2 linked regions of the Rhinolophus ferrumequinum genome follow. The protein of the gene in region 2 interacts with the protein of the main gene of each other region in a pairwise test. Links are inferred from orthologs where the notes say so. Each region holds a gene or a part of one and is shown on either strand. Other genes may lie near its edges.

Evidence for each region.
Region 1: the proteins of RBSN (region 2) and EHD1 interact in binary tests that used the Homo sapiens proteins (3 or more experiments, as listed by UniProt). The link is inferred for Rhinolophus ferrumequinum from reciprocal best matches to the Homo sapiens genes RBSN and EHD1.

The regions. Positions count from the first base shown.
Region 1 is NC_046294.1:6,687,893-6,700,047, reverse strand, and holds the start of EHD1 (EH domain-containing protein 1), read right to left. Parts: upstream 5,539-12,155; 5' UTR 5,321-5,538; coding exon 4,917-5,320; intron 1,082-4,916; coding exon 984-1,081; intron 1-983. UniProt on the Homo sapiens protein: ATP- and membrane-binding protein that controls membrane reorganization/tubulation upon ATP hydrolysis. In vitro causes vesiculation of endocytic membranes. Acts in early endocytic membrane fusion and membrane trafficking of recycling endosomes.
Region 2 is NC_046300.1:41,246,182-41,258,126, reverse strand, and holds the start of RBSN (rabenosyn-5), read left to right. Parts: upstream 1-6,375; 5' UTR 6,376-6,564; intron 6,565-8,664; 5' UTR 8,665-8,840; coding exon 8,841-8,988; intron 8,989-11,945. UniProt on the Homo sapiens protein: Rab4/Rab5 effector protein acting in early endocytic membrane fusion and membrane trafficking of recycling endosomes. Required for endosome fusion either homotypically or with clathrin coated vesicles.

The sequences.
Region 1 (12,155 bases), on a different chromosome or scaffold from region 2:
AGAAGAGAAGCAAAGTTTGTCGGCACCAAGAACAGCCCCCCCAGCCACAGCAGACACACTGCCCACATCTCAAGTTGAAGGCTGCTGGCTTCAACTGCAAAGCTCACCAACGCTGGACAACCCAGAGGTCAAGTGGAGCTGGGAAGATCTGCAAGCTGATGATAAACAAACAGGTCACTTGTCCTCAACGCCTCTCTGAGTCTGATTTTCCCATTTGCACATTTGCAGCTACAGGCTCCACTCCTGGTCTGCCACATATCACTCTCCTGCCCTCAAGTTCCTCCAGGTCCCGAGCTTCCCTCCCTTCTACAAACGGGGGAGGGGGCAGTTACAGCAAAATTAGAACCCAGTTCAGGCACGTCCTGAACCAGATCTTCAGAAAATCTTGGCAAAATCGAGCCAGGAGTTTATACAAGTGGAATGGGCCTGGTGCGCTAATAAGCACAAAAACCTTCCGCCACGCCCAGCACCCAGGGCGGCTGCTACTGACCACCATTTAAGCAAACTGAAACACATTCCGAGGCAAACTGTTCTCTCACAGGCCTGCAAGCCTCACCAGGAACGTATATGGCTTTGGGAGGCAAAGCTTTTAAACACCAACTAAGGTGTGAGCTCCCGGGTGTGAAGAGCCCCTGGGGGACACAGGCTCGTTCAGTCAGCAGTACTGGCTGAGGTTTCTTGGGCCCAGATACTGAGCAATTTCCTGTGACCTCCCAGGCAGCCCCAGGCACCATCTCCCAATCCTGTCCTTCCCAGCATGCCCCAGGGGCTAAAAACCACAAAAGCCACAGAACACGGGCTGTGGACGGCTCCTGCAACCTTAGCAAAGGGAGCCAAGGAAGGAAGCAGCCCCTGCCTCGCAGGGCTCCACACACGAGGCCAGTGGAGAATGGGTTCCCATTTGGGCGGGGCCAGACTTCACGGGCTGCATGTGTCACAGACATCAGATGAAAGTAGCCCTGGGCTGTGTCAGAGCCGGTTACCTCTGCTGATGCGCTGCTTCTCCCCAGACAGGATCCCAGGAGTGTCAATGATGCTTATGCTGTCCAAGACGGGGTTGGGCAGCTGGGCGCACATGAACCTGCACGAGAGCAAGAGCCGGAAGAGAGAGAGGTCAGGACGCGGCCATCGCTGCTGTCCATGCTCCACGGTCACCTCTGCTTCCTTTCCAGAAGCAAGGAATTTACAGGAGGCTTTCTATCGTCTTGTTTCCCGGGGTGGCCAGAAAACCGTACATGTTCTCTTAACTGGAATCCAACCAGCAGGCTCAAACCGACCCGCATCAGCACTTTCCTCATGTTAGCTTTTCCCCCGGAGTTCAAGAGTTCAGCTTTCAAGTTGCTGACATGTTAGTGAAAACTGCAAGGAGCCTAGGTCACCGTTCCAATCCAGTAGGGAAGCAAAAGGGTGACACTGGAACCATGGGGTTCCATGTTAAAATTTGCAACCACTTGTCTACATTTCCACACACCAAAGACAGATGGTCCTTTCCCACTGCTGCTGGGCCCGGCCCTTGCCGTCCACCCAGCTGCTCAGGGGAAGGGACTGCAGTGGGTGGCCAGTGAAAGCTGGGGGACCACACAGGCTAGGTGGTGGAGCAGACAAGTACAGACACCATTCTCTGACTGTCCAAGCTGGTCCAGGCAGAATGAGGCTACAGACAGGCTGGCAACCCCTGAGTGAGGGCTTAGCTGTGTGTGCCTAAGTTCTCCCTGGATTTAGAACAGCCCAGGACAGCAAGGGGCTGTCCCAACTGATAGCAGAGATTCTTGACTGGACACAGAAAAGGCTCCTTTCAAAACTTCTCTGAAAAAGGTATTGTGAGCAAAGAAAATACTGACCCATTGTCTATAGGACTCAGGCTTAAAGCTGCCTTTCCAACAGGGGGAGGAATCTGAGCTGATTAGCTTCCCCTTTTGGCACCACCCCCCAAGTGACCAGTGGCCCACAGGCCAGGGGCAGCTGGCCAGGGGTGAGAGGTGGCCTGCAAACACAACAGAGCAAATCCAGCTGACCCTCACGGTGCACTAAATTGGACCTCATCTTCCCCCATGGCGCAGCAGAGCTGTGCGTGGGTAAATAAGTGCGTGCCAGACCTGGGGTTCCTGCTAGGGGAGGGAGTCCCTGGAGAGAACACCGAACTAAAAAGATTTGAAGCAGAATTGGCTCTGGGTGGTAACATACATAAAAATATTTTGCGAATGAGCCTGGTGAGTAAGTTCACATCTGTAGGACTCAGAAATAATTGCGCTGCAAAGCCCAGGGCGTGTGGTGGAAAACATAAAGTACAAGCAGTACAGATGCATCCCATCCCATGTTCTCACCAGCAAGGATGCACAGATTTCACCTCGAACTACAAGGGGGCGGTACCGGTTTCGCAATGAGTTTTCACAGCACGATCTTTGGACACCCTGACTGTGTCCTGCCTCCCTCTGCTCCATCTGATTTTAATCTTAGAGCAGCCATTTAGGGGAAAAAGGCCGGAAAGGCAAGTTCATGACTCAATGGGTCTCTTCAAGGGCGCTGGGAGAGGCTGTGTCAGCCAGAGAAGAGCCCCCTTTGTGTGCCCTGGCTAGTGGGGAGGCACAGGCTGACACAGCTCCAGGCCTCAGTTCCCGTGCAAACCCGTGCCCCACCCCATCTTTGGCTGACAAGGCCCCTTTCAGCAGGGCCATTAAAATTTGGGGGGCCTCTGGGGATGAGGCGGTGGCAAAAAGGAAACAAGTGTGGTTGTCGCATCCTGTGGCACCAATGTCATCAAAGTGCCTGTCTGGGACCCAGCACACCTGACTTTTTCTTTGTATTGCATAGAAGCCATGCTGGCTGCACACATAATCAGAGCTGCATCCACCTGCTGGGTGAGCTAGACAGGCAAATCAGCCGGGCGCAGGGACCGTGGTTTCCTGAACCCACGAGGTGGGGGTTGCCTAGATGGCTAAGATCCTTTCCAGCTCTGAAACTTTAGGTCTCCAAATCCAGAAAACAGGCCATATGCCCGTTTTTCCTTTCAGAAAAGGTCTTCTCTCACGAGCAGAAGTGGAGACCTAAGGACCGTCAAGGGAGCTATAGCTACACTTCCTTCTAGCTCCCCAAAGTTCTGCATAAAAGTAGAGAACTAATAATGCTTGGAATTCCCAGCATAGCAGCCAAACTTTCCACAAGATCGCACCACGCCCACCAGCCAACAGTCTGAGCCAATCCCCTATGTACATTCACAATAATTCTAAAACACCAGCATCCTCTTCCAGAGGAAGGCTCCAGGCTAAAGGGGCCACGCCTCTTCAGGAGTCTCCCCAAAGAGCTTTACTCAACTCTGGCCCTAACACACAAATGCTATCAGCTAAAAACACAGGAGAATGGGGTGGTCCGGTGGATCAGGCAGTTGGAGCACTGTGCTCCAAACGCTGAGGTCGCCGGTTCGATTCCCACATGGGCCAGTGAGCTGCGCCCTCTACAGCTAAGATTGTGAACAACGGCTCTCCCTGGAGCTGGGCTGCCGTGAGCAGCCGGAGGTCGGCGTGAACCGCTGTGGGCTGTCGCGGGCTGCTGTGTGCTGCCATGGACTACCATGTGCTGCCATGAGCGGCCGGTGGCCAGCGTGAGCGGCCGGCAGCCGGCAAGAGCTGCCGTGAGTGGCTGACCAATGACTGGCGACAGACTATCTCAGCCGGGGGGAGCGCAGGGCTCATAACACCAGCATGGGCGGGGGAGCTGTGTCCTATACAACTAGACTGAGAAACAACAGCCTGAACAGGAGTGGGGGTGGGGGAGGAGGAAAAAGGGGGAAAAAAACACCAGGAGAATGAGTTTAAAAGCCTGAAAAGGGCAAGAAGACAACAGTAGCCTGCACGTCTTCTGTTAAAGGTCAACTCTGTTCCTGGAGGTGGGGGCAAGCTGGTCCTCCCTGGGCAGAGCAGCTGGACAGTGTCCGAAAAGGAATGTGATCATACAGGGCAGAGACCTAGAAGGCAAGCGTCAAGGATTCTTTCCTAGGCTCTTACCCAGACCCACTCCTTGAATGGGAGGTGGCAGAGAGGGCAGATCTGTGAAGTCCTCGTATGCTCCATGGGGGTGGGGGGAGGGATTTTAAGAACACTGACTAGCACTTCCCAGTTCCTTTAGAGGAAAGTGAGCTTTGGCTGTTGCACTCCTGAGAGAGGAGGCCAATGGGTTTCATTCCGAGCATCACAGAATCTTGGAGGATTATCTTCATCATGAGACGTCAGATTTCACCCATTTTACTGGGGAAACTGAGGCCCAAACAGATGAAGGAACCTCCTATGGAGTTTACAGAGGAACTCAGGGCCCGAATCGTGTTTCATTTCAGGGGGCCCAGGGCCACCGCCTGAGGCTGCTTCATGAAACCCACAGACTTTGGGAGGAGAGTTCCAACCTCATCTGTCTGCTGCCCCAAACTCAGCAGGCCACAGCACATCCTCCCCGTTCCTCCTACACAAAACCACAGGTCCCAGGGGAGGCACAGCACAGCACACATCACATTAGCAAAGGGAATGGCTAAAAGTTTCACCGTATTTTCCCAGACACTTAAGAAAAACCCTTGAAGGAAGAGGGGTGGTAGTTTGAATGAATTAGGTGTATCCAGTCTGGAAGAAAGAGATGCCAAACAAGACTAATCCTTGGTTCTGAGGGAAGTAGGGCTGGGCCCTTTGGGAGTTAAACTGATAACCTAGAAAATTCTGGGGGTGACAAAAGTCGGGGAAGCCAACGACGCCCACTCCCAGAGCCCCAAATAGGTTTTCTATGGGAAGCGGCAGAGGACCCTGTTCCAGGGAGTGGTCGCTGAGGGTCTCTCCGGGGCCTCGGAGACAAAGGATGGCGTAGGGGCAACCGCGGGAGGGTCGGGATCCGAGTGCGGGGTCGGGGCCCTGGTCGTCCCCCTTGTCCCCAGAGGCTACCTGTTGAGGAAGGCGTTGCCGAAGGCGTTGAGCTTGCGGAAGGGGCGCCGTGGATCCACGACGAGAGCGTTGCCAGGCACCACGCCCTCGGTAGGGCCGTGCATAACCGCGATGAAGGAGTCTGTGGTGGGCTCGGGCCCGATGCGCATTCCCGGGAAGTCCTGCTCAATCAAGTGCCGGATGAAGGTGGTCTTGCCCGTGCTGTACTGGCCCACGAGCAGCACCATGGGCTTGTTGTCGAAGTCAGCGTCCTCCAGCGCGGGCGAGTGGAACTCGTGGAAGCGGTAATGCTCCTCCAGGGGCAGCAGCTTCTGTGCGTACAGCTGCCGCAGCCCCTCAGCCACCGTCTGGAAGAGCTCCGGCTCCTTCTTGCGGCGGGCATCCTTGCTGACCCAGCTGAACATGCTGCCGGAGACGGGGCTGACTGCTGCGGAGCAGAACGGAGGCTGTGAGCTGGGCGAGGGCGCGAAGCCGAGGCGGGGCCCGGCCGGCAGGCGGAGGGGTAGCGGGGCTACAGGGCAGGGGGCGGGGAGCGGCCCACACTGCGCAAGCGCACGGCACAGCCCGCGGTGCGCCCTCTACGGAGTGGACCGCGCGCTGTATCGAGAACCCTTTATAAGGCCCGTCCTCCCGTTCGGGTGCGCGCATGTGCGCCGCCGCCGCAAGGACGCAAGGAATTGGGAGGGGGAGGAAAGAGCCCCGCCCGCGGTCTCCACGCCACGTCCGCCCTCCCCCGCCTCCCATTGGCCGATTGCAAATCTCGCGAGCGCCTCTTGCTCAGCTCCCCGCCCCTGGCCTGGGTGCCGTGGCAACCACCCTGGTTTCGCCTCGCCTTTAGAGGGCCGACTCGTGCAAGTGCTGCGGTTGGGAAGACGGGAAGCGGGAGCCGGGCGCGAGGAGGTCCCGGCGCTAGTGTGCCTTCCAGCGTCCGCGAGACGCCCAGTTAGACACTCCAGCTTTCTGACTACACGCCCCACCCGCAGTTCCCCCATGAACGGTCCTCTTCCTCCCACGGCTCAATCTCCGGAAAGTTTGGAGGACCCCTGGGGCCGCGCGTCTCCCATCTGCACTGCTCTTCCTTGCCTCCTCGCGCCTGCTTCCCTGCCACTCCCTCTCATCCCCGAATCTTTGTCTGCTTTGGGAGAAGGGGAGGCAAGAAAGAGATAGAGGAAGCTGAACTTCCGAGAAGGAGTGGTAACTGGGTAAAGAAAAATGGAGGGAGAGGAAGCCAATGGGGAAAATCTGACCAGCAAGAGTTGAGCTCCCCTCAGGCCAAAAGGGCTGGGAATTTGGAGATGGACACAAGCAGTAGAGGGCGAATATGACATATGACATGTGGTGGGAGAAGAGACGGCCTCCTCAAAAAGACTGCATCTGGGGGAGGGTGGGAGAGGGTAAAGAGGAAGTTGAGGCTGCCTGGCCGCATGAGTCTTGAGGAAGTGAAATTGGAAATTACCTATGTGAGGAGGAGGGGAAACATGGAGCAACAGTGAAATCTTGTGGGAACTTAGGGGAAATTAAAAAACCCAAATACTTCCGCTTTCCTCTCAGGGTCACCACCAGTTACCAGTTTTTCATGCTGACCTGTAGCCCCAACCCTCACCCCTGCTTACCAGTTCCAGGCAGTTCCACTAGGCTCATTCCCCTGCCATGGTCCTTGGCCACAAGTGGAAGTCCACTGGGCTGTCTAGGCTGGTGAGAATCTTCAGTGGGTGATGTCAGAGCTTTGGGGACTGTGATTGTTATGTAACCAGTACAGGACACCAAAGTGCCAGAGGGGGTCCGGGAGGCTCCTGGACAGATCTAAAATGTAGCTAGGCACTTGAAGCCCTCACGTCCAACTTTCTGGCTTCTGGGAGATGTGGCAACCTGGAGGGCAGGGTGCCTATATCAGGGAAGAAAGCAGGCTGGCAGGCTAAGAGGACAGAGGCAGGAACTCAGAACAGGCAGAATATTAGGGGAGCTGAGTCAACTGGGAGCCAGAGGGGGCAATATGGGAGGTTTGGTTGCCCACCCCTTGTAAGGTCAGGCCTCAGTGCCTTCTGAGGGAATAAGTAATGTTAAATTGATTGCCTCTCCCTCGCTAAGCATTGGAGAGCACTGCCTGCAATCTTAGGTCCCGGATTTACTCCTTTTATTTGTATTAGCATTCTTTTCATCAACCACAGTAAAATGTGAAAAGCCATGAGACCCTTTTTTGGGCATTCTTCTCAAAAGAGAATACTGAGACTCCTAGACAGGGTGTCACCATAGGCTGTATGCCAGCTGATGACAAGAAGCCTCAGGCGGGCCCAGTCCAGACTTCCTGGGCCAGCCTTAGAGCCAAAGGTCTTGCCTCCTACATGACGCTTTAAGGGGTCCACCCCGGACATGCAACTTCTGAGCTGTTCCAGGGAAGGGCCCGGGGCTGAGGATCCTGAAAGAGGTGGTTGTTCAGTGGCCTGAATGAGGCTTCAAGGAGCTAGGTCCCCGGCAACACTCACACTGACCCACCATGGTGTGCACATCTCCCCAGAGCCCTGTGTGCTAGGAAAATCCAGCCCTATAAAATTGAAAATAACAGAATGTTCCTGGGTTATTTATAAATGAACCCTGTTGTTTCTGTATGGCCACTTGGCTTTCTCCAAGGAGCTCAAAGGACTGGAAGAGGGGTTCTTTCATGAGGCTCAAGTGGGCGGAAATTAGTTTCCCCAATTTCACAGACTTTGCACCCAGGTCCTGGGCAGCTTCCTTATCTAGTATTGCCCCAGACTGGGAAAATGTCCTTCTGGGTGTTTTTTTTTTTTGAGTAACATACCGGTAACTTCCATTTAATGGGAAAGTTTTGTGAAATGTGAATGAACCATTTCACTTTTGGTTTCTCCTCCGTTTCACTTTCTGTTTGTGTTTTCCTGGATTCCCGGGAAAAAAACTGAGGAAGGGTTCAGATATTTCCTTTTTCTCTGATGTGCCTCACTCCCAGTGTTTTCTTCTTTCAAACTCACAAACACACCCGCAAAAACCCCGCCCTGAGGTGCCACTAGGTCTCCCTGAGACTGCACTCAGCAACCAGAAAGGGGCCACCTGCTTTCCCTCAGAGCAGTCCCATGATGTCCTGGTCTAGAGAAGTGTCTACAAGGCCCCTAAAAACAACTTCAAAAAAAAAAAAAAAACAGTTTCTCTCCAAATATGGCAGAAGAATCAGGCTGGAAAAAGCCCAAAACATAGGTTTGTCTCTGGGAGTGGTTCATTCTGTCCACTGAGAAAATGTGCACATCAGTGCAGCTTGTGGGTCTTGTAGTCACAGGAACAGATGTGGCCAACAGATCAGTTTGGCCAAAACAAGGTCAAGCACTCGGGAGGCCGGTTCCTTGGCAATCCAGGGTCTCCAGCGCCAGCCAGAGAAGGGCGTCCTCTCCACTCCACAAGGCCTCTCTCCCATCTCCCGAAGAGGCAGCAGTGGACGAGGCCTTGGGTACAATGTCGGACCCTCCCTGAGGTGTGGATGTGAAGGCTGGGCCAGAGGAAGGGGTGGGCTCAGTGACCCGAACGCTGAGTGTGACACATGGTCGGGGCCAGAATTACTCTCCAGCCCCCAGCCTGTGAGGCCCACAGTGAGGCTCAGACTGTGTCCCAGCCACGGGGGAAAAGGGGATAGAGGCCATGGGAGGGAGAGGCAACTGGAGCAGATGCACCTGCCTGCAGGGGACATAAGGAGGTCAAGTGGCTGCACGCACACAGGTTCGGCTAAGACCCTGGTCACTCAGGCAGCAACATCCACAGCACGTCATGTACCCTCAGGCTGCCGTGATCATAGGACCGCAGGGTTATACCCGCCATTTCCATCAGTGTAGAGCAAGGGGACCCCCAAGCCCGTGCCAAGGGACCCATGGTGGTATCACTGTAGAAGACAGAATCCTCATGTACCAAGTGATAAACCACTTCCTGTCCCCAAATGCAATGTGTCCACAGCACAGCTGGGACGGTGCCTGCATTCTGCAGGGAGTTTGGGCTGAACACTGCACCCTCAGCACAGCGTCTGCTCCAGCAGCCCCTGCAAGATGGGGCCAGAGGCCCCAGAGACAGAGACAGGTGTTTGGAAGCCCTGCAGTGGGGGCCCCACCTCCAGCCTGACATACAGTTTCCATCAAAATGGTTGGAGGCCTTTGGCTCAGCTCTGCCAAGCACTGAGAGGTTACACAGCACCCCAGTAAAACGCAGGCTGGGCCCCCAGGCGGCTAAGCAGGGTGGGGTGGAGTGAGGTGTGGGGCTCTGGCTTGAGGGCAGAGTTCACCCCAGGCTGTACCTGAGAAAGAGGCTCTCGAAACCCTCTTCCTCTGCTTTGCCTCCAGCTCCCACCTTGTGACTTCAAATGGTTCGAGTACGGAAAGAGCACAGTGTTAATATTCCCAAGGCTCAGCTTCTCATTCAGACTTTGAGGAAGGCACTCTACACGCCTGGGCCTCCAACTTCTTCTCATTGAGATTTGGAAGCAGAGATCCCGAGCACCCCTGACACTGTGTCACCTCCAAGCCAGAGTCCTGGCACCCACAGAGGCCTCTGGAGCCCAGGGGTCTGGGACCACTCAACATTTTTTTCATATAAATGAATGGCCATTGCTTCTTTGCATTATGCCATTTCTACTTATGAAAGGTTTCACAGGAACACTCTACTTTCTTATAGCAGGGGGGGGATACCTGTAATTTGTTGCACAGCAATAGATTACTGTAGCAATGGATTTGTCCTTTTGTCAATCAACACTTTTGTTGACTGGCAAAACTTGGCAGCCATTCAACAGAAGTTAAGAAGAAAATGGAAGGAAACTAAAGTTATCACGGAGTACCGCTAGCTGGGAAAGCAGATTTCAAAACTGAATAGAGCGTGATCTGGCTTCACACACACACACACACACACACACACACACACACACACTGCCATCCACTATTGAGAGGCAGTGTAGCAAAAGGGCAAGTGCTTAGTCGGGTTTAACTCTTAAAGCCTGTGTCATCTTTAGCAAGACACCAGGTGTCTGGGACACAAACTGTAAGGACACAAGCTGTAAAATGGGATACCAACGCACCTAGCATGCAGGATTAAATGTGAATGTGCAGAGCACACAGAACAGGGAAGGCAGCTAACCTGAGTGATTACGGGCAATGTCTACAGGGCTATCCTTGCGTCATAGGAGCTGGCACAATTTTTGTTTACTTTCCTATATTGTCCAAATTTTATATCATGGACACATTTGAGGGAAGCTGAGAGACATTCTACAAAACTGGCCTGTACTCTTCAAAAATGTCAAGGTCTTAAAAAAACAAAGAGAGGCTGAGGGTGGCTCAGCTTAAAGAAGACTGAAGACACCTGGCCATCAAATGTGGGGCGTGATCCCAGTTTACTGGGACAACCAGAGACATCCAGAAGTGGACAGCGTATCAGATGATCGTCCTGCGTCACTGTCACTATGCCTAAAAGTGGTAACTGTGTTGTGGTTGTGTAAGAGATGTCATTTTTCTTAGGTGGTACATGTTGAAATATTCCTTAACTTACTTTCAAATGGTTCAGAAAAAATGTGTGTGTGTGTATAAGGGAGGGAGAGAGGGGAAGAGAGAGAGAGAGAGAGAGCGCGCGCGCAAATATGGCAAAATGTTAAGTTAGTGAAACTGAATGAAGGGTATATGAGTGTTCATTGTACTTTGCTTGCAACTATTCTGAAGGTTTCATAATTGTCAAAAACAAAAAGTAAAAGGCTAGTGTCATGTGGCGTGTCATGCAGGGTCTCTGGTCCCGCTCCCCACACAAGAACACAGGATATGGTGAGGCCAAAAAGGAACACCCAGGGAGCCATAGATAGGGGAGTCATACCACTATATTCTCGCTGGTGGCTGGGTTGGAGACACAGGGAGCAAACATCTGCCAGTACCCCAACGAGGGGCCTTCCTGCCCCGCAGTTGCGCTGGCAGCTGGGCAAGACACACATAGAAAGTAGGATCCACATGATCCGCAATCCACCATCCACTTTTCTGCCTGCCAACCAACCAACGCAGCCACGGCAGTTATATCAGTGGCTAACGGCTAACTGGTAACAGCTGATGGCCAACTAGCCACAGCAGATGGCCATCTACTACCGGAGCCAGCACCTTTCCACGTGAGGCCGAGAGCCTGGAAACTGCTCTCTGGGGCTCTGTCCCCACAGCTAGGAACAAGATACCCTTCCCTCAGGTACTATGTGGCCAGCCCCGATATTACATTTGTAGACTCATGACCCAGAAGTACTGTATAGAGCATTAATTATGAATGTAAAATGGACACTAATAATTCTGATAGCTATGTCAGTCGCAAAGTGGCATCACGCCAGAGCATGCTGTGAAAGGTGTACCCAGTGAACACCCTAACCAGATAACTCCAGAGTGGAGAGTGACCATCTGGACAGCTTTATGGGACTGCAGATGGGGGAACCACACCACGTCTCGGGCATAAGATCAGAGCTATCTGACGGCTCATCGCTCAGGCCTCAGCCCACGAGCTGACAGCTGCATGTGCCTTCGTCCCAGACAGAGCGCTTGAAGCCTGACCTTCTGACCGTCTCATCAGCCTGGCCTGACGTCCATTGCTCTGCATCCCAGGGCACCCAGCGCGGAAGGGGCTTGCACTGAACACCGTAAGACTCTGTTCACCTTGCCTAACCCTATTGCTTGCAAACCTGTGTGACTCTTGTGTGAAACCGCTCTGCCTCGACTAGGAGACGATCCTCTGGCCAGAGCCTCAGTGAATGCCCGTGGGAAACTGAGGTAGTAGAACTAGATCCATGGCTTTATTCTAATAAAGTCTGACATTGTGGGAAGACACAAATGTGTGGGACTGCTATTTTGATAGCCACGTCCCGTTCACGACAAGTACCAAAGCCCATTTATGATAAATGGATGAATCAACTATATTCTGTTCATACAACGGAACACCGTCCGCAGTGAATGAACATGAGCAAACTACAGGTTCCAGCAACCAGATGGAGACAGCGGGACGCAGCAGCAGGACTCATTTATATAATGAACAAATAACAACAACCCAGGCAAAATGAACACATGGCTGTGTAGGTGGATGGACACCTGCAGAGAAAGGCAAGGAAGTGATTGCCACAAAGGTCAGCATTGTGCTTACCTGGGGTGGGTTTGCCTGGAAGGACACATATGGGGCGCTCTGCAATGCAGAGATTTTCTTTTTCTTGAGTGGTAGTTACACAGGAATTCATTTTCTAATTCTACA
Region 2 (11,945 bases):
GCAAAAGCCGACAAGACTTGTTGATGGATTAGAAGTAAGGTGTGAGAGGAAGAGAGGGGTCAAAGACGACCTCAAGGTTTCTGATTGGTGCAGCTAGCTGAATGGAGGAGCCCTTTACTCCAATGGAAGGGCTGTGAAAAAAGCAGGTTTGGGAGTCGAGTCCCCCAGAGAAAAGAACCCATGAGCTCTGCTGAAGGCACAAGGCCAGGTGGGAACATGGCCATGTGCCATGCCATCTGAGCTCCAGACCGTCATTGGCCTCTCAGTTGAGTGTCTGCAAGAGAAGGGGGGCTCAACTCATCAGTGCAGGGGCTTCGTAGGGGGAACTGACTCTCAATCCAGGCAGCTGGGGTGCTCACCCTCCTCTGCTAGACAGCAGGAGGGAGTTTCAGAAGGCATCAAACAAGAACCAGGAAAACCAAGTTGGCTTTGAAAACCTGGGATCTTACATGACCATATGGCGCCCCCTGGTGGCTGGCTAGGCTCACCCTGTGTGTCTACTCCACAGAGTAAACAGTCCATTGTGACAATGAGATCTCCTTCCAAGGCCAGCTCCACTCCCCAGAGGCAACGACTGTTAGAGTCTGTGTTTCCTTCCAGACATTCAACAAACATCCTTTCAACTGATTCTTACTAAGGGGTTACTACGTATGCCAAGCACACAGTATTTTTGCCTTCCGTATCTCTTCTCAACACAGAAGCCAGAGGTCAGATCCGGTTCCTTCCCTACTCCCAACTCTCCCTTGAGGACCCCGCCAACTCAGAGTAAAGGCCAAAGTCCCTACAATAGCCATGACCTGCCCTCTCCCCTTGAGCTCTCAGACCTTCCTATAACTCCCTCCCTTGCTCCCTCTGTTCCAGCCACATTACCTTTTTTTATTGTAGTAAAATAGACACAATAAAATATTTATCATTTTAACCATTCACAAGTGTACAGTTCAGTGGCATTAAATACATTCACAATGTAATGTAACCAGCACCACTATCTATACCCAAAACTTTTCCCTCGGCCCCCCACAAATCTCTGCATCTATTCAACACCAACTCCCACTCCTCCCCTCCCCCCAGACCCTGGTAATCTCTACTCAACTTTCTGTCCCTATGAACTTGCCTCTTCTAGATACTTCATGTAAGTGGAATCATACAGTATTTGTCCTTCTGTGTCTGGCTTATTTTGCTAAGCAGAATGAAAAAGGTCCAACCATACGGTAGCATATATCACGTCATTCCCTTTTATGGCCGAATAATATTTTATTGTACGAAGAGATCACATTTTGTTTATCCATTCATCCAGTAATGGGCACGTGGGTTGTTCCTACATTTTGCCTATTGTGAATAACGTCGCTATGAGCATGCGTGTTGACCTCATGACTTTTACTTTAACCTGCCAGGCATGCTCTGCCTTAGGGACTTTGCACTGGCTGTTCCCTCTGCATGGAAGTTCTTCCCCAAGAGATCCACATGGCTCATTCCTCACTGCCTTCAGGTCTTTGTTCAAATGGTGCCTTCTCAGTGACCCCCCTACTACATACTGCGACCTGGCACTTCCCATACCCTTTACTCGTTTTTTTCTTTTTTCGATGCACTTATGACTGTCTAATGTACTATAAAATATACTTCTTGGGTATAGTTATTGTTTAGTGGCTGTGTCTCTCCACTAGAATATCAGCTTCATGAGGTCAAGAACTGCTGCCTGGTTTAGCTCAGGCACCCACGTAGCAAGGTGCTCAATACATAGGTTGTTGAATGAAAAAAATCACAGGCCTAAGTCAATTTCTGAGTTAAACTGGAGTCACAAGACTAAGGTGTTAGATGCTCTACACATCAAACTCTTCAATATCTTATTAAATACTTAAAATACCACATGTACACAGATTATTTCAAATCTGTGTTTGAATTGGGGTTAACTTCTCAACTGACTGGGCGTACATATCTCCAGAGATTTAGCTCAGAGGAATGAGTTCTGAAGCTGCAGACAACCAGTGTGATTTTCTTCTCACAACCTGAGGACCATGCTGAGCCCTTTACTCTCGTCCGTCGCCCTGGGACCCTCTTGGAGGTATGCACAGCACAGTTGAGCGGGTGAGTGGGAGCAGAAATCCAGTTTGTGACCCACTCACTAGGCACAGGGCTTGAGTTCTGGCACAGGGCTCCATCCGTGGAAGCAAGAGGGGCCTCTTTCCCATTCACCAAAGGCCCCAATAGGCTGGCAGTGGCCCTGTTTTGTCAAAGGAGATGCCAGCCGATAACCTGAAAATTGGGTGGCCTTGCAGTTCACATGTTAATACCATATTTTCTACTTAACAAGTCTGTTGAGGCTGCTACTCCCCACCAACCTCCCCCACAAAATTCAATGAATGTGCGAGTAGTTATTATTTGATTCCATTCTGACTTCCCATCTGGCAGGGCCATGACTCTCAAAGATATTTCCATGATACCAGATAGGATCCTCGCATCTCCAATGACAGTGTCTGACTCAGCTTGACACAACTGCCAAAGCATTTAAATCACACCTCCCTTCCTTTTTCTTTAACAAACATTCACATAGTCCTTCCTATGTGCCAGGCCCTGTTCCAGCACTGTATTAACCGATTGAATGCTCCATCCTAGGAGGTAGATGGTATTATTCTCCCATTTTACAGATGAGGAAACTAAAGCTCAGAGAATTTCAGTGACTGAACTGGGACCTCACAGCTGTGGGGCTGGGATACAAACCCCAGTTGACTGGCTCTGGAATCTGTGCTTAGAACAGTTATGACTGGCTACCTCTTAACTTTTTCTTGTTCTCCTTTTCTCCCTCTTTCCCTACTTATTTCTTTCCCTCTCTTCCCTTTCCTTCTCTCTTTCTCTCTTTTCTTTTGTCCGTTCTCTGCTTCCTTCCTGACCCTGAGCAGCTGCCACCTGCTTCCCCTGGTCACCACCCAGCCTGGCACACCCTTTGTCAATTCTCCAAACCAGGCCCTGCCCTCCTGTGACCCTGTCAGTCCTTTGGTCATTACTCTGTTTTCCCTGTGCCAGCAGATGGGGTGTGCCAACCTCTGTCTCCTCAACCTACCTGCTCATGACCACAGCAGCAGTTGTCAGAGGCCTGGGCCAGCCTGGAGGGAAGCTGGATCTTTGGGGAGTTACATGCCGTACCGCACACCTTCCCCTAACATACGCTTACTGACATTATGATTTCCCTCTCCTGCACAGGTTTTTTAATGTCATGCCAAGACATCTTGTGCTGCTTGAGATGAACTTAAACAATAAGGGGTCAGAAAGAGAGAGAGAGAGACAGAAACAGAGACAGAACTCTAGGCCAGAAGGCAAAGGTGAAGGAGCCCTTGTCTGAGACTCGACCCTTAGACGGGGCTCGCCGTAGTGCTGGGAAGATGTAGTGCCTTCATAGTATCACTCTAGGTATGAATGAATTTTTCTGTTTCTCAAAGGACACATGTTCTTCCCCAGGACCATGCTTTTGCATATGCTGTTCCCCAGGCCTGGCAAGCGCTTCTTGATCATCTCTACTTGAGGGCTCTGCGCATGTGTTGCTGCCTCTGGGAAACTTTCCCTGAATTCCCACAGGGGGTTTCATCAGCCAGAACATCTGCACACATGTGCACACTTCTCTTTCTCTCTCTTTTCTTTTCTTCCTTTCTCCTTCTCGTTCTTCTTCTTCTTTTTTTTTTTTTTTAACTAATTGGATTATGTTCCCTGCCAGCTGAGGCCTCCTTGAAGACTGAGACTGTCTTGCATGATTCTCTTCACTTCCTCTATCTCTATGCCTGGGACATGGTTGGTCCCCGGAAAATGCTGAGAGATGAAGAAAAGCTCAGAGATCAGGCCTTCACAAAGGAAGGATAAGTGGGGGTTGTGAAAGTCTCAAGACAAGATGACTCTGGGTTCAGTACTTAACAGCTGTGTGATCTTGGGTAAATTACCTAATCTCTCTGTGCCTCAGATTCCTCACTTACAAAATGAGAATAATATTAGTTTGTACCACATAGGGTTATATGAGGATTAAATGAGTTAAAACATGTAAAGCACATAGAACAATGACTGGCACATGCAAATCACTCAGTGAATATTAGTTATTATTACTAATATTAAAATAGAATTAATAATAGAGCTGCCCAAAGGATTTAAATAATGAAAGTGCTTTTGATAAACTGTAAAGCATACAGGAAGATCTTTGCCACCATCATTCTTAAAAATATCAATAGAATAGCAGTGGCTGATCCAGCATGATTTCCGGAATTAATTCACAAGCTGCCGGCCACATTACTACTTTTTTGAGTAAATGAAATGGTGAATGCGACACTGGCTTTTGTAAATGATAGAATAACAGGCAAAATCATGATGGTTTAATAAAAGGTTCATCACCTGACTCCAAACATAGTCCTGCTGATAAGTGTGGCCAGTTCTGGGACTTATCCGGCTCCATACATTCAAGAAGGTGTTTTCACTCTTTTGGTTACTCGGAAACAAGGCAGGAGGTGGCGGTGGGTAGGTAGAGCTGGGACTGATGCTTTGCTTCTGACAGGTTGGCAAGTCTCTTGTCTGTGCCAATACACAAAGGGGAGTCACTGTCTACTCCTACCAACCCTATAAAGTTAAAAAAAATACATATTTTTTGGGCTATCAGATTGAAAAAAACAAAAGAGCTCGAAAGTCTTTAGAACCCATTTTATCTGTTTAGATGGGAAAACTGAGGCCAGGAGAGGGAAAGGGAACAGTTGAAAGTCACACAGTAAGGTCTCTGAACCCCCTACCTCACTGCCCTTCCACTGGCGCTTGCTTTCCAAAATCTCTATGCTCCCCACACTGGAAGCCCCACATCCTTAAATAGAAGGTGAGGCAAGCCCAGCACTAGTTGCAGAATCAGTGCTCCAATTTAGAGGTGGAGCCACTCCCCAGCCCCCACCCCCCAACCTCCCTCTGCCCTGGCAACCACCAATACTTTCTTTGTATCCATGAGCTGTTCTTTTTTCCCAAAGATTCCACATACTCATATAAGTGAGATCATACAGTGTTTGTCTCTCTGTCTACTTATTTCACTTAGCATGAATGCCTTCAATGTCCTTAGGTCCATCCATGTTGTTGCAAATGGCAAGCTTTCATTCTTTTTAATGGCAGAATCATATATATATATATATATATATATATATATATATATATATATCACATCTTTATCCGTTTATCAATCAATGGACACTCAGATTGTTTCCATGTCTTGGCCATTATAAATAATACTGCAATGAACATGGGGCGGGGGGTGGGGTGGGGCATACATCTTTTTGAGTTTAGTGTTTTCATTTTCATCGGCTAAATGCCCAGAAGTGGAATTGCTGGATCATTTGCTAGTTCTCGTTTTATTTTTTTGAGGAACCTCCATACTGGTTTTAGATAGTGGCTGCATCAATTTACATTTCCACCAACAGTGTACAAGAGTTCCCTTTTCTCCACATCCTCGCCAATACTTGTTATTTTTTGTCTTTTTGATAATAGCTATTCTAACAGGTGTGAGGTGGTACCTCATTGTGGGTTTTTTGGTTGTTGTTTGGTTTGGTTTTTGTCCACGTGGGAATTATACTGTATGCGGTGTTTTCTTCCAGTTTTACTGAAAAACAATTGACATACATCACTGTATAAGACATACAGCATGGTTTGATTTACATGTTGTGAAATGATTATCACAATAGATTCAGCTAACATCCATCTTTTCATATAGATGACAACCAAAAGAAAAGAAAAAAGGATAAAGCAAAAAAAAATTTTTTTTCTGTGAGAACTCTTAGTATTTACACTGTTAACAACTTTCCTGTATATTATACAACAGTGTTAGCTATAGTCATCATATTGCACATTACATCCCTAGTACTTATTTATCTTGTAACTTTTGACCACCCTCCTCCAATGTCCCTTCCTCCACCCCTTCATTGCAGTTTTGATTTACATTTGAAAATGTCAGATTTCCCACAGATTTGACCACGCTGTCTACCCTCTGAATGGATACTTCCTCTCATTATAAGTCTCCACTCTCATGTGGTTCTATTCCGGATCTTTCCACAACCTCCAAGTCTCCAAAATATTCCTTTTATCTCTAGCCCTCAAGAACTTTGACTCAAATTAATTTAGAACTGTAGCTGGGGGTAGGGTAGGAGGCGTTAAAGACCCCACCCCCAACCCTGCTGCCTCATTCATTGCACACCTTGGTCGAAAGCTAAAGAATTACATCATATACAAGCTTCTGTTTTCCCACCTGTACCACGGGGTGGAGAGCAAGGGGCTGGCTTTAACGCATTATACGTAAGTACCTGGGACGTCAAAACGTTGCAAAATTACTGAGCTCACCCTGCTGGTTCTTACAGCGCCTGCGCAGAAGCCGCCGGTCGCCCAGCGCTTTTGGAATCTGTCGCGGCCCCTTTCGCGCGCTGGAAGACTCGGCGCTCCGTGGGCGTCTGTCAGCCTGTCTTCCGGTTTCGGTGCTGCCACAGGAGCGCCTGCCGAGCGCCAAGTAACCGATGGAGATGGCGGCCGCGCCGGTGTGATGAACCGTGGAGGCCCAGAGCCCGTGCCAAGGTCTGGAAAGGCCTGCGAGCCCGCGGGAGACTGGCCGGTTACCGAGGGTTGGACTGGGCCTAAGGGGCCGGGCGCTGCTCTCTTCGGGCACCGAGACGGGCGGCCGAGCGGGTGTGGGACCGTGAGGTTGGGGTGGGTGTGACATGCGTAGTGGAGGAGGTGGCTTTCGGGTCTTGCTGTTCGCTCGTGTGTGCTTGCGTTGAGTGGGCTCTGTTTGGGTGTGTGGTGTCGCGGGGCGTGTACAGTTGTGTGTGGTTGTGCGGCTGAGGGGTGGGTGGGTGGTCGTCTCCCGGGTGGTTGTGTTTGGTTCTCTGATTGTGTGAGGTTGAGGCGTTTGGGGTCTGAGTTTTTGTGTTGTTTGTAACGTTTGGTGTGGCGTCTGTGCGATGTGTGAAGTTGTCATGTCTGCCCTGCGCGGGTGAGTCTTTCACGTTGTGTGTACTTTTGCGACGTGTGCCTAATCGTGTTGAGTGAGGTGGAGGCGGGTTGTGTGCGGTCGTGAGGCTGTGATGAGTGCGGCTGTCTCTGCGGCATCGGCTGAACGTATAGGTGCAGAATACGTAGGTTTTATTTTTATGTTTTGCTCGGTGTACAGTGTGGGCTTGCATACGTTATGGTTGTGGGGTTTGGCTTGGTGGTTTGTGGTAGATTTCTTTGGTTTGTGGTGTGTGTTTGGTTGTCTGATCTTACAGTTCATTCATTGTGTTTCTTGTAGTTTGTGCCAAACATTGTGCCAGACCTTGGGGATATGGTGGTGGAAAAACAGACATGGAATCTGCCCTCACCGAGCTTCCAGTCTCATGTGTTCAGTTACTTTATACACTTGTGATTATAGATTGAGATCAGTGCTGTGTAGAAGTGCAGGGGCTGTCAGATGGGAGGAGGCCTCAAGTCAGAGGCATTTCCTTGAGGAAGTGAGGTTGGATGGAGATGTGAAGGGTGTGTGTGTGTTTGATTTGCGGTATTAAGGGTGAATTCACAGAACAGAAGGGGGCTGTCAGAGTCAGGGTGTCAGATGAACCACTGGGTGGGAAGAGAACTGGAGCTGCTATTTCAGTGACTATCTGGAAACGCGGTGAGATTTGCTTATATATAGTCATTGGGTTTCTCAGCTAGAGGAAAGAAACAGACTTTGTTTATTTTCTGGGTCACTGCCACCCTTCAGGTTTGAGGACCAGGCCGTCCCACCTCAGTGGCCCTCTACGCAGTGGTCCGTCTAACCTGAGGGTCATACAGTCCCCCTTACTCTCTACTGTGGTTAGTGAACTCAAGCTCTTGGGGAGAAATTTCTCTGCTTTTGTGAAGTGGTTTTGTGGTCTGGGTTCTCCTTATGACCGGGAGTCTTTCTGAGGTGACATTGGAAGTGACTTTGCCATGGCCCAAGAAAACTGAAACTGTAACTTACTAAGCCCTGAATTGTTTAAGCACGAAATCCTTTGATTTTTAAAGCTGTGAGAACTTTTGGCTTCCTGCTCAACTGTCACTACTGGTTTATAAAATATAGTAAGTTCATTGGAGAGAAAGTGCTTTACAAGTATAAAACACAAAATAGATTTTTCTTTTTGACCACTAGGTTTCTAATGCTCCTCCTTAGACTGAGGTAGGGATTTTTGTTTTGTTTATTAGGGCAGGCACTATCTCTTTTTTATTGTTGTATTTTTGACATTGGTGCAAGAGCTCAATAGATGTGATTGAATCAATGATCAAAATACAGAGAGTTCAAGAAAAACTCCTATTTGTTGATAAATACTTCAGACATTACTCCTATGATCTACAGATTATGAAGTTGGATCATTTGGAATGAATGTTAGAGAATTGCCTGGGTATTGTGTTTGCTGTTGAAGTTGAATTTTCCTTTCGTATCTTCAAGCATCTGTGCTTCCCACTTTATTGAGCTGCCGTTGTCCTGTGATGTTCTTCTATCTTAGATGGTTTTATGTTTTGGTCTAAGGATTTGAGAAAGCAGTTTGCGTTCTCAAACATGTACTGAACAAACATTAAGTATCCTTGTTGAATGATGGAAAGAACAAAGAGAATTCTGAATTGCTGCTAATTTGCCTGATTGGCTTTCCCCCGCCCCTTCTTCTTTCCTTTCTTAAGGCTTCTCCCACGGACTCCAGTGAGGAAACCTCGCCCAGGGCCATGATACCACTTGCACATCATCTGTGTGCTGCCTGGTTAAGTTAATGCTGCGGGAGCCCTGGTCCTTTGCGGAGGAATCCAGCTGAGGGTTGGCATGAGGCTCCTGCCTTGTGCGGGTTGAGAGGGACACTGTCATGGCCTCTCTGGATGACCCAGGAGAAGTGAGGGAGGGCTTCCTCTGCCCTTTGTGCCTGAAGGACCTACAGTCTTTCTATCAGCTTCAGTCCCATTATGAAGAAGAGCACTCCGGGGAAGACCATGATGTCAAAGGGCAAATTAAAAGTAAGAGGCGAGGAGTTTGCTTATCCCGTTCTGTTCGTGGGAGCTTGAACTCCTGGGGTGGTTTTCATCAGCTTCTATGTTGCCTCTGGAACATGATATTAACAATCATAAATGGATAACAATAGCCACAAACATTTATCTAGCGCTTACCACGTGCCAGGCTTTGTTCAAAGTCTTCCCATGAATTAACTTCATTTAATCCTCACAATAGCTATGCTGCGATGAGCCCCATTTTACTGATGAGGGTATCAGACACAGAGATTAGATAACCTGCCTAAAGTCACACAATGAGGCAGAGCCCGGCTTTGAACCTAATAAATGTAGTTACTGTGCTCTGCTGACTGAATTGTCTCATTGCCAGCCTCCGAGGGTTTTGGAGTGGAATTCTTTTCCTTTGCTATGCAAGTGGAGGCACATTGTTGACTCATTTACTTGTCATAAATTCAAGCCTTCCTGCCATTCTTCTTTTTTCAACTAGACCTTGTCCTCTGCAGCTCAGGTAAAGGAAGGTCATAGTTGAAAAGCAAAGAAAAACGACCCCGAAAATTAAAACTTACTATTTGAGCTTTCAAGGGCTCAGGTGTTGGAGAGTTGCAGAAATTTTGACTAAACAGCATTCATTTCCTGGACTTCAGATTCTAACCCCTAACTATGATGCCACTGCCTTGGAACTCACTTTTTCGTTTTCGGCTAACCTTACATCTGGTCGCATTTCTGAAGGCAATGCGACTGAAAAGATCTGGATGCTGTTTTCACAAGTCTTTGTTGGGTGGGACAGAAAGGAATGATCATGTATTCCTACCATGTTTCCCCGAAAATAAGACCTAAGCCCTAGCATGATTTTTCAGGATGACATCCCCTGAACATAAGCCCTAATGCGTCTTTTGGAGCAAAAATTAATGTAAGACCCGGTCTTATTTTCCGGGAAATGTGGTATGTGTACTTTGGCCTCCGCACATATGAGTCATATGTACCCGGTAATCAAATAGTCACACTCTATGTCATATTTTTCAGTTCAGAAAAAAAGAATTGCTGAAAGCATTAACAACTTCTTTTCAAAAGCATGACAAAGTAAAACAGTTTCAAAATCCTGAAGACGGTGATGACCAGGTGGGTTCTGGCTGGAGCAGAGCCATAACTGTTAGAAGCTCTCCGCCCTCTCCCCCCAAAAATGCTGTTTGCGCTTTATAGTTTTCAGAGTTCTTTCACATATAATTTCATTTGATTCACCCTGCAGTAGGGTGGTTGGGCTCATCTTACAGAGAAAAAGTGAGGCTCAGAGAAGTTGAATAACTTACTCAAAGTCACAGAGGAATTGAATTCAAGAGCTAAGCCTTGAACCCATGTCTTCTATCACCTCTGAGACTACTGCTGCTCTTTCCACATGAGATCACTGATGATGTGAGGCCCTGAATTCCAATTCCCGCATGTGCTGCAGCTGGAAAACAAACAAACAAACAAACTGATTATCTAAGTTCCTTTGGACAATTGAATGGCCTCCATGATTTTCAATGAGTGTCCAGTCTTAGCTGAACCGCGTCATGTACTCTGAGACGACTAAGACTTTGATGCCAGTGGGTAGAGAGGTGGTAGAATGTCCTCCGATTCCTCTGATAACCCTTTTATTAGAAGAAAAATGTTTAAGGTTATTTAGGGAATAATAGACATGGGAATCTATTTAGAGAATACTAAATAGAGTAGAAATTTTGTTTCTTGTAAAAGAAACTTGCAAGTATTCACTTGTTTTTCTCCCTCCTTTTTCCCCCCATCTCTACCTCAGAAGAACTAAATTGAGTTAAGCATTCTTTAGTAGGGAAGGAATTCTTGATTATGTGTTTCAGAATCAGGAAAGTAAAGTTTTAAAGATTGACATCAAAGATTTTTGAGAAAATCCTTTGAAAAGCAGATCACCTCTCCATTTGGTCTTTTGATTCTTAGAAATTTTGTGACATTGCTAGTTTAGGCAAGTGAAATGTTAAAACCAAAAGAGGGGACCTTGGTTTTAACATTTCACTTGCCTAAAGTGAAAGTGAAATGGTTTCAGGTTTTGGAGGCAGTTTAAAAAAGAAAATTTAAACTTGACATTACTAAAAAGTGGTCAGTGGGTTTGGGTCCGAGACATGGTTCAGCTTCAGTTTAGCATATCTACAGTCAGTAGAAGAAAAAGTGGTTGAGAATTTGCTTTTGCTTTGTGTTTTAAAAAACATATGGGATTGTTCTTAATTGGCCCCTCTGAAAGGGCTACACCCACCCTGGGAAGGTTGCCAGACAGTTTTTCTATGCCTCTTACAGTGGTAAAATGGCATGGATTGCCTGTTTAACTTGACATAGTTTAGTCTTGTTTGCAGAAATGAATTGGTGTTTGCTAACTCCAATTTTCTGTCTGTTAGACTCTTTATTTACATCAGACACTGTCCTCTTCACTGTTGTTAAGAAAGACTAATGTACAAAGTCTCATAATTAAGTTTGTGAACTTGTTGCAACGTTGCTAACCTTTTTTGATATCAGAGGGATTATTCATTATGAATTTGTACCAACTGGACAAACAGTTAACCTAGTATTTAGAAGTGCTGAAAAGGCTGCGTGAAAAAGTTAGATAGCCTGAACTTTTCACCAACAATTTATGGCTCTTGCATCACGACAAGGCACCAGCTCACGGCACTGTCTGTGAGAGAGTTTTTAGCCAGTAAACAAATAACTGTATTGGAACACCCTCCCTACTCACCTGATCTGGCCCCCAATGACTTCTTTCTTTACGTGAAGATAAAGGAACTATTGAAAGGAAGACATTTTGATGACATTCAGGACATCAAGGGTAATACAACAGCTCTGATGGCCATTCCAGAAAGAGAGTTCCAAAATTGCCTTGAAGGGTGAACTAGGCGCTGGTGTCGGTGCATAGCTTCCCAAGGGGAGTACTTCGAAGGTGACCGTAGTGATATTCACCCATGAGGTAT